Linked DNA regions of Saccharomyces cerevisiae S288C. Changing the gene in region 3 together with the main gene of any one other region gives a genetic interaction. Each region holds a gene or a part of one and is shown on either strand. Other genes may lie near its edges.

Region 1 (2,918 bases), on a different chromosome or scaffold from region 3:
CCTCATTCCGTTTTATATGTTTATATTCATTGATCCTATTACATTATCAATCCTTGCGTTTCAGCTTCCTCTAACATCGATGACAGCTTCTCATAACTTATGTCATCATCTTAACACCGTATATGATAATATATTGATAATATAACTATTAGTTGATAGACGATAGTGGATTTTTATTCCAACAATTTCTTTACCTGATATTATAACCTTTATCAGTGGTGGATTCCCAACAATTATATGACTATACGCCTTTTCTTACTTAAAAATTTAGAGGAGTACCTTCAGATAATGCTGAGGAACATACCCCTTGTTGATACTGGTATGAACATTCTTAAGACGGGTTCAAACGCGCTATTAGCGATGCGCTAATTTTTTTTAGAATTCAAGCGCCCAAGAGAAGGGACAATGGAATTTTTTGAAATGCATAATAATACTTCATATTTGCTACTAAATTTATCAAGTTTGATATCTATAATTGTAGAATTAGAATATGTAATATTTTGTGATAGAGTAGAAAGCCTTACAGGGTGACACTCAATTTGAAGACACACGGTAAATTCCGTAGCCCGTATTTCTTACCGCCCATTCAATCTTCTAGATACTTCCTTTTTGATGATACTTTCTTGATTACTTCGACTAATATTAAAAGCTCTTATCTCCTGCTCTATGTCATTCAATTCTTCTATCTGATTGTGAGATGTTGAAACCCTATTAACGGCGCTATCATTCTGTAAGCCATTGCCATTGAAAGGTACTTCAATCCACATAACGCCATAAATCTTATCAAAACTGTCTGCAGACATGCTTGTTCCACAAATTTTAAAGTTGTCATCAATTATGTTATTGAAGGAGAATTCCCTGTAAAAGTGATCATTGGCACTAGATATAATAATACCGTTTGTCAAGCGTGATAATTCTAGGTGATAGTCGTCGAATAATATTTCGATCGCCTCTATATCAATATTGTTGGGGTCCAGTTTCTCCATAATCTCAGAAGTTAGCCTATTTTCGTCGACACTCTGTTCCACATAAATTTGATTACCGTCTTTGTCTGATATCAGTTCATAAGATGGTATGTATACTTTTTCCCAAATCCTCGATAACTTTTGTTTGACAATTTCTGCAATGAGTTGGCATGTGATTTCTTTATGGAGAGAAATTATGTAAGACTGGTTTACCTTTCGTACAGAAAAGTGTGGTTGGCATTTATTCTCTCGAAGGGGTGGACGTAGTTGCGGCTGTTGTATTTTTCTTTTCTTGCGGATCATATCCAGTGGTCCATCAGATACATTAATCTCAAGAAGATTAGGTTGACAAATGCATGCGGCAGCCATTAGTCAGTTTTCTGTTTTACGACCAGTCCTATCGAGTTCGGTGCGTTGAGGAAACAAGGGATGGAGTAGTCTTATTGTAGCTTATGAAGGAAATTTTCATTTTTACAAAAATAGAAAGTTGGAAAAAAAAAAAGGCTATAAGATATATCGCAATTATTTTTCCCTTTCTCTTTTGAGTAGGAAAGTTCCCTTTTTTCTATGGAGTTCTCTCGCGTTCTTCTGGGAAATGATTTTTTTTTCCACTGCTTTTGAGAAGTGTGGCGCTATCAATTGCAGAAGGAAAGAGCAAGACATCAGGGACTGATGAACAAGACCAGAAATAAGGGTCTATTTGAATTGAACGTCATATTTGGTTCCTGTGCTTCTAGCCAAATTGCTTTTTTATCATATTTTGTGCTTGTGTGTTTATTTAGATTTAGTTGCGATCAAGTGTAGAAACACATTAAAAACTATGTTGAAAAACATAAAAAGTATTTGCAGATCATTAAACATTAGAATTAACTATTTATCATTAACTATTATATTAGATATTACTAAAGATTAAAATTTGTCATTATATTACAATCAGAACATTCTGTTGTCATAAAGTTCTTCAATTGGTGAAAAATTCCATAAGAGAACAGAGTATACCTCTCCACATTAGAAATCTTAGAATTCCTCTCAGCCATTTTGGTCTGATTCTATAGAGTAGGACACCACAATTATCACCCATAAGATCAGTGCTCTCAGAGTCCAAGCCTTCTGCTTTTTTTATCAATCTTCTTGCGGGGCAGCCACCATTCCAGAAATTCCACTTTTTCACACCGCCGCATAGATTCAATCTATCCAATTTCTTAAACAGGGGGCCACGAGGACCTCCGATATACTTCCATTGAGCTACGCACCATTTCTGTCTTGGATCTCTAGCTGGTAGTTGTTGATCACCCCATCCACCTTGAAAATGCAACCAATCCAAACCGAGAGATTCTTCTCTCTCTGAGGAGGGTGTCACAGTTTTACCATCAAAAGTATAGGAGTAAAAGTTCAAAGATGGATCCCACAGGGGACCACGATCGGTAAAATCACTCAAAGGCATGAAAAAAAAAGGAATGTCATGAGCATGCTGCCCAGCGGATGCATAATTAGCATGCGTGCCTCTAGCACTAAAAATCAACGGTCTTTCCAGTATAGTATCCCCACCATCGTCACTATCTTGCTGTTTTCTTTTCCGTAGTTTCTTAAATTTCTCAACAGCTTCGTATCTGTAGCCTGTTCCACTGGAATGCGCACTCATCCAAAGATATTTTGGAATACCTTTATAAAACCGAACCAAAGAGTGTTCCCAGTCACCGACGTGATTGCCCCAGGGTCCATGGCCCATAATAAAAGGGCCATGATTGAATGGGTAGAAGAAAAACCAGAACGCATCAACCCACCCGTTCCCCTTGTCGACTACGATCAGAATAGCAGGCGCCTTAGAGTTGTAGCCTGTTCCGTATTCGGGTAGATGACCGAGCAACCATTTAGGGTCCTTGTCGAAATCGTCCAAACTGGTTAAAAATACCTCGCTACTGGGGATATGCGTTTCCGTTTTGTTGCCAAATA
Region 2 (3,241 bases), on a different chromosome or scaffold from region 3:
TAAGCTTTATTTATCTTGATGTCTTGTTGAGATAGATCTTGCACGGTGTTGGAGACCTTAACACTATTTGGACCTGAGACGTAGTGAGTTAGCGTGGCTAGATCGATGATCAGTTTCTTGGCATAATGTGCATCCTTGTCTGCTTTCGGAATCTTCGCCTTTTCTTCTAGTGCGCGGATAGTCTTTGGATTAATCCTTGGATGATTATTGGTGCCCAGCTTTTGCAAACGGTTTTTATACCAGTCGATCAAAGTTTTGTCCACGGGGAACAAACCAGAAAGAGCCCCCCACTCGGTGGTCATGTTAGCAATAGTGAGTCTGTGATCGATAGGCAATGCATTCAAAGAGTCACCCGTGAATTCAATGGCGTGATTTAGAACTTGATCATTGTTGAAAAGCCCACATAATGCGACAATGATATCTTTTCCGGAAACACCCTGAGGCAATTGACCTTTCAACTCAACCTGAGCCACTGGTGGGATCTGCCACCACGTCTGTCCCGTGGCCCATATGGCTGCAGCGTCTGTTCTCACTATTGGAGTGCCCAGCGACCCCAGACCACCGTAGGTGTTTGAATGCGAGTCAGATGCGACAGTCATGTTCAAGGGGAAAGCATAGCCCTCCTCAATCATAATTTGATGACCAATACCTCTACCGGCAGGGTAGTGGTCTATATGGTGTTTCTTAGCAAAATTTTCGATGTTCTTGTACTTGGTCAAATTTTTCTCTGATTTGTTCTGAATATCGTGGTCCAGAGTGGTCACAATCTGTGAAGGATTCTTGATCTTGGTAGCGCCAAGCCCCATGAATTTCAAAGCTACAGGCCACGAATTATCGTGGGACATACAGTGTGCCGGCTTGATCGATACATAGTCACCAGAATGCACAACTTTACCCTCGGGAAGGTTGACCGCATACGACTGAACAATTTTTTCAGTTAGGTTCTGACCTTTCAACCAGGCCCTAGAACTGTGGAACGAACGAGTAAATGTGGTTGATCGTAGCATCTTGAAGCGATACAATTTTGTTTCCTTGCAAGTTCTATTTTATTGAAAAAGTGATATTGTCTACTATAAGAGGCAGCGCAAAACTAGCTATTGCACACACAAACACACGAGGATTCTTTTGTATATATAAATACCTATGGGGATATATATATATATATATATATGTGCGTGTCTGTACGTGTGTGTGGACATGAGATTGTGTATACCTGTGTATGTTGGTGATATTTGCTGCCTCTGGTATAGACTCATCGATTACAAAATTTCAGTCATCTCGAGCAAAATCCCGGGGGAAAAAACAATAAAAATTTTTTTTTTCCAAATCGCTCCATTCTGCTCACTTGACACGAAATTGTTTATCACTTGATACGTGTACATTTTACCGGGTTTGCGGTAATTTCGCACGAACAAGCAGTGAAAAAAGTCATAGGAAAATTTTTCACCGTAGCAGCCAACGCAGTTGCGTTTTTTCCAGTTTTTCCAACACCAGAGGACAGCTTTGGCTATTCTTTTCGGTGTTTGGTGCTGTTGTATCGCTGGCTTGTGGTATCTTCTGTTTCCTATTTAAAGTTGGTCAGTGCCCCCTTTCCAGTGGGCTTCTCCCCTGTGTGGGCTGTTTCTCTTCTATGGCACTTCAACTTCGCATTTTTCAAATTTTTATTCAACAATTCCCTTTTCTTGATCTCTTTCTTTTCAACTCTCAAGCCAAATATTTAATTGTTTCTTCCTACCCGCAAGCGTATATATATATAATATATATTCACACACGCAAATATGTCCGCCTCAGCTCAACATAGCCAAGCCCAACAACAACAACAACAAAAAAGCTGTAATTGCGATTTGCTATTATGGAGGAACCCTGTTCAAACCGGTAAATATTTCGGTGGGTCTCTGTTAGCCTTGTTAATTTTGAAAAAAGTTAACTTGATCACTTTCTTTTTGAAGGTTGCCTACACTATCTTATTCACAACAGGATCTATTGAATTCGTATCCAAGCTCTTTTTGGGACAAGGTTTAATCACCAAGTATGGTCCTAAAGAATGTCCAAATATCGCCGGCTTTATTAAGCCTCATATCGATGAAGCTTTGAAACAGCTACCAGTCTTCCAAGCCCACATAAGAAAGACTGTATTCGCTCAAGTCCCTAAGCACACTTTCAAGACCGCTGTTGCCTTATTTCTACTACACAAATTCTTCTCCTGGTTCTCTATCTGGACCATCGTCTTTGTTGCTGACATTTTTACCTTCACTTTGCCAGTTATCTACCATTCCTACAAGCATGAAATTGATGCTACTGTCGCTCAAGGTGTAGAAATTTCTAAGCAAAAGACCCAAGAGTTTTCTCAAATGGCTTGCGAAAAGACAAAACCATACTTGGACAAGGTTGAATCTAAATTGGGCCCAATTTCCAACTTGGTCAAATCTAAGACTGCTCCTGTGTCTTCTACTGCCGGTCCTCAAACCGCCAGCACTTCTAAGTTGGCCGCTGATGTTCCATTGGAACCAGAGTCTAAGGCTTACACATCTTCAGCTCAAGTTATGCCAGAAGTTCCACAACACGAACCTTCCACTACCCAAGAATTTAACGTCGATGAATTGTCTAATGAATTGAAGAAAAGTACAAAAAACTTGCAAAATGAATTGGAAAAAAACAACGCTTGAGTGCTTTTTTTTTTTCATTTCAAACAAGAATAGCTAACTTTTGTCTCTTTATTTACCACTACATATTACATTAGCCTATATATACTCATACGTTTCTCTCTCTTTACTTTCTGTACCCCCGAGGAAAAATACATAAATTATTTTTGAACTTTCCCTGCTTTTTTACCAACATTGCTACAGTTTAACCATTGCAGTTAAAAGTGCTCATCGTGTTAGTTAAATAAATAAATAATTAAGAGAAATAATAATAAAGTATCATACATAAATAAGAATAAAAAAAAAAAATGAAAAAAAAAAACTGTTAATTTTTTTTTTTACTGATTTACAAATTCCTTGTACCTCTATCTCAGCCCATGCATATATTGGTTGTTTTACTGCTTGATACCACTAGAAACCTCTAGTTGTTTAACGATGGGGTCTCTAACATTAGGGTTCAAGTCGTCATTAGTTAAAGATAGTTGGCTTGATGTCCATAAGTTAGACTCTTCCACAAATCCGCTCTCTCCAACACCCAATAAGCCACCTTGGCTTTCCCAGTCTCTGACACGTGGTAACTGTAGCTCATTGAACACATC
Region 3 (4,023 bases):
TAACCTGCGTGACCGTCTGGTGGAATCCTGCCATTTTACCCAATAATCGTCTAAGATGTGAGCACCATATAAAAACTTTAAATAATGTCAGTATTTATAGCGTGATAGTTCATTACCCGCCGACTGTGCGCATTCGTGGCTTCTGCTCACTCCGGATAATAATACTACCAAGGGGTTCTGTAAGGCTTGCGGGTTACAAAGCACGGGTCCATTGAAGATCTTACACAAGAAGGAGTGGTAGGAAGACCAGCAGATTATTTCCAATCGGTCGTTGCCATTGTCTTATTTCCTTTTCTTTCTGGCGCATTGCATTTTAACACCTTTTTTTCCAGAATAGCCAACCACCGACGTCTGATTCACACATTACTGGGCAAGATCTTGACATAGCATTACATTACAACACGGCAACACTAATCACGCAACGCTAGAACTCGCGCAGGATGAATATTCAAAGCAATAATTCTCCGAATCTCAGTAATAACATAGTGTCAAAACAGGTTTACTACGCCCATCCTCCACCTACGATAGACCCGAATGATCCGGTGCAGATATCTTTCCCTACCACCGAAGTAGTTGGGCATGGTTCGTTTGGTGTGGTATTTGCCACTGTTATTCAAGAAACTAATGAAAAAGTTGCTATTAAGAAAGTCCTGCAAGATAAACGATTCAAGAACAGAGAGCTGGAAATAATGAAAATGCTGAGTCACATAAATATAATAGATCTGAAGTACTTTTTCTATGAAAGGGACTCCCAAGATGAGATTTATTTAAATTTGATACTAGAATACATGCCACAATCTTTGTACCAGAGGTTACGTCATTTCGTCCATCAACGTACGCCGATGTCAAGATTGGAAATAAAGTACTACATGTTTCAATTGTTCAAGTCATTGAATTACCTCCATCATTTCGCGAACGTCTGTCATAGAGACATTAAGCCTCAAAATTTATTAGTAGATCCTGAGACCTGGTCCTTAAAACTGTGCGATTTCGGCAGTGCAAAGCAATTGAAACCTACTGAACCTAACGTTTCCTATATTTGTTCACGGTACTATAGAGCACCAGAGCTAATCTTCGGCGCAACAAATTATACCAACCAAATCGACATATGGTCCTCTGGCTGCGTAATGGCGGAACTGCTATTGGGCCAACCAATGTTCCCTGGAGAAAGTGGTATTGATCAACTAGTGGAAATCATTAAAATCTTAGGTACTCCATCAAAGCAAGAAATTTGCTCTATGAATCCCAATTATATGGAGCATAAGTTCCCGCAAATTAAACCAATACCATTGTCACGTGTTTTCAAGAAAGAAGATGATCAAACTGTGGAATTTCTAGCTGACGTTTTGAAATATGATCCACTAGAAAGATTTAATGCTCTACAATGCCTGTGTAGTCCATATTTTGATGAACTAAAACTTGATGACGGTAAAATAAATCAAATAACAACTGATTTAAAATTGCTAGAGTTCGATGAAAATGTCGAATTGGGCCATCTATCTCCCGATGAACTATCATCTGTAAAAAAAAAGCTATATCCGAAGTCTAAGTAATGATAGCACCGGAGGGAGCCCAGGCAAGAATAATGGGAGAAGGAAGGAACATATATACGTATGTCTTTTTTTAGTACTATTATTACTGTTATTATTATGAGTATTGTTTTTGTATTACCATCATATTCTTATCATTATTAGTAGTAACAGTATTATGTTATCATTACTGTTATAATGAATACAAATTATGAAAAAAATAAGGTAAAGCCAAAATAAATTGTAACTTTTTTATGCCATTTCACTTCGAATTATGTATAAAAGCCGTATTCTTTGCCAGTACGAAACTATTTTAATGACACCTTTACTTTAACCGGGTAACAACTTCCTTAAATGGGTCGACAAGGTTTTTAGAGTATAAAGGGGCAAGTGAAGGTTCATCATCGAGCTGATGTAGTGGGTGTTTTAGTAAACGAAGAAGCACCTTAGAACCAAATAATCTAGCTAGTATAAACCGAACCCAGAGTAGCAAACAAACCATGGGTAATGTTCCAGGGAAAATAGACCAGGAAGATAGTTTTAATGATGTCAGGCCAGATTCCTCATATAATACTACATCATCGAATTCTGTCATCAAACAATATGATGAAGAAGCCTCTTCAAGGGTGAGAACGAGACGCACGACGTCTTTGGTCAATAATATTTTAAATGGGAATAATGCTCGTACAAAAACTGGTTCTCATCTATCCAGCACTAGTAGAAGAAAGACGTCACGGGAAAAAGAGCTTGCTAAAGAGGCACATGCTAAACAATTGGTTGTGAGGTGTAGCGAAACTGTAGATGGGGGGTTTTTGGCCCCATTTGGCTGTTATTCTTTTGAAAAGTTGGACTATGATGCTACTGTCGTTAAAAATTTAATAATCAAAAGAAAGTTAGCGCCGTTTTACACTCCTTTGCAGGATTTTGATGAAAGTTGGACTAGAGATGAGTTGATAAAAATTGTTGACGGATTGCCCTTGCATGACACGTTCGATGAAAATTTGGAAGAATTCGAAGACGTACCGATAGGCAATTTAAGGAAGTCAACATTTAATGAATTAATAGACAAATCTTTATCCAAGAAGGAACAGAGAAGAATGCACGCAAAGATTTTTAGAGCAAGATTGTATAAGAAAAGAATTTTATGGCAAGAAAATGAAAATGAGACGTTTTTGGAGAGGAAATTGGAAATGAAAAGAATTGGCAGCAAGTCCAGCAATGTTGAAGATAATACCAGTAGCCAGCCAAGGAAAAATTACCATTTACCAAGTGACGATTTGAAGTATACTCTTTACAAAAATGGGTCGGAATGCCCTATTTGTTTTTTATACTTTCCAGGGCCTTTCAACTATTCCAAATGTTGTCAACAGCCTATTTGTACCGAGTGTTTTGTACAGATTAAGAGAGCTGATCCTCACTTCCCTCATGACGAAGTAGACCCAACTGAACCACAAACTAATGACAGTGAAAAGGACCCAAATCTTCTTACCTCTGAGCCAGCAAATTGCCCCTACTGTGCAACTGCTAGTTTTAGCATCACTTATCAACCACCCACAAATCGTGAAACTGGTATAGGGGGTATGCCAGCCGACTCATACGTGTATAAGGACGCCGCCATATCAAGAGCTGATGGCGGTCAGCCAAACATATCAGCCATTACTTCGGATACCATTCGTCCTGATTGGGAGATTAAATTGAACAAAGAAAGGGCAAGGTTGATGAGGAGATCCGCGAATGCCACCGCTATACATATAAGTAATAGGTTGATCGATCCAAGCCATAGCAGAAGGAGAAATACAAGTCACAGTATAACCCCTATTCATGATGAAAGTACGTCAGCTTCAAGATCTCCTGAACCGACAATAAACGAACTTGAAGATCAAATGGTTAGAGAGGCTATTAGGTTAAGCCTTGAAGATCAGGACAACCGAAAAAAATCAAAGAATAGAAACACCTCTTTGAGACCATAGCATCACAGTTTGACATTTTTTACAATATTAAAAAAATCCTTTTTCAAACGTTCCAGAAGTGCACTATTTTTCTTTTGTTCCATCTATATCTAACGGAGCGTCACCAACCTGACCTTCCTTTTGGCTTTAAACAAAATGATCCGGAAATATCGTCACATTTATTGTGAAGAGAGAGAAGTTTTACAGTTAATTGTATTGCAAGCTCTTCCCGCTCTAGAAAGTTTTTGTTTTGTTCGTCCTCAAGAATTGAGAGTTCAAGTATTTCACCTCAAATTTGCATTTGAATTTTAGTAGTAACTAATATAAGATTCCCATCCCGCATCCGCCACTGAGCAATGTCATTCTCTCTTTTCTCGCCTTTTTATGGATAGAAGCACATAGACGATGGATATCAGAGAAGCGTTCACATAATTAAGCAGTTAGTTCCAAATATGCGTACAGTCTTTATAGATGAGAGACTGTTAAAAACGACCTTCCGTTCGACCACTCAAACTGTAGTAGGAGTTCTTTTCTCTATTTATATG

The links.
Region 1: of SIP5 (region 3) and CUR1, changing one suppresses a phenotype caused by changing the other (phenotypic suppression), as found in Saccharomyces cerevisiae (one study listed by BioGRID).
Region 2: of SIP5 (region 3) and RTN1, changing one suppresses a phenotype caused by changing the other (phenotypic suppression), as found in Saccharomyces cerevisiae (one study listed by BioGRID).

What each region holds. Positions count from the first base shown.
Region 1 is NC_001148.4:841,678-844,595, reverse strand, and holds CUR1 (Cur1p), read right to left. Parts: upstream 1,335-2,918; coding exon 576-1,334; downstream 1-575. Other genes in the region: TDA6 (Tda6p), read right to left, coding at 1,927-2,918.
Region 2 is NC_001136.10:928,895-932,135, reverse strand, and holds RTN1 (Rtn1p), read left to right. Parts: upstream 1-1,778; coding exon 1,779-2,666; downstream 2,667-3,241. Other genes in the region: homoaconitate hydratase LYS4, read right to left, coding at 1-1,007; HEM1 (5-aminolevulinate synthase), read right to left, coding at 3,038-3,241.
Region 3 is NC_001145.3:545,685-549,707, forward strand, and holds SIP5 (Sip5p), read left to right. Parts: upstream 1-2,029; coding exon 2,030-3,499; downstream 3,500-4,023. Other genes in the region: Arf family GTPase CIN4, read left to right, coding at 1-46; serine/threonine protein kinase RIM11, read left to right, coding at 441-1,553. UniProt on the Saccharomyces cerevisiae protein: May negatively regulate the SNF1 kinase by promoting the interaction of the REG1/GLC7 phosphatase complex with the kinase. Deletion of SIP5 promotes resistance to artemisinin, which is probably an indirect effect of an action on the electron transport chain.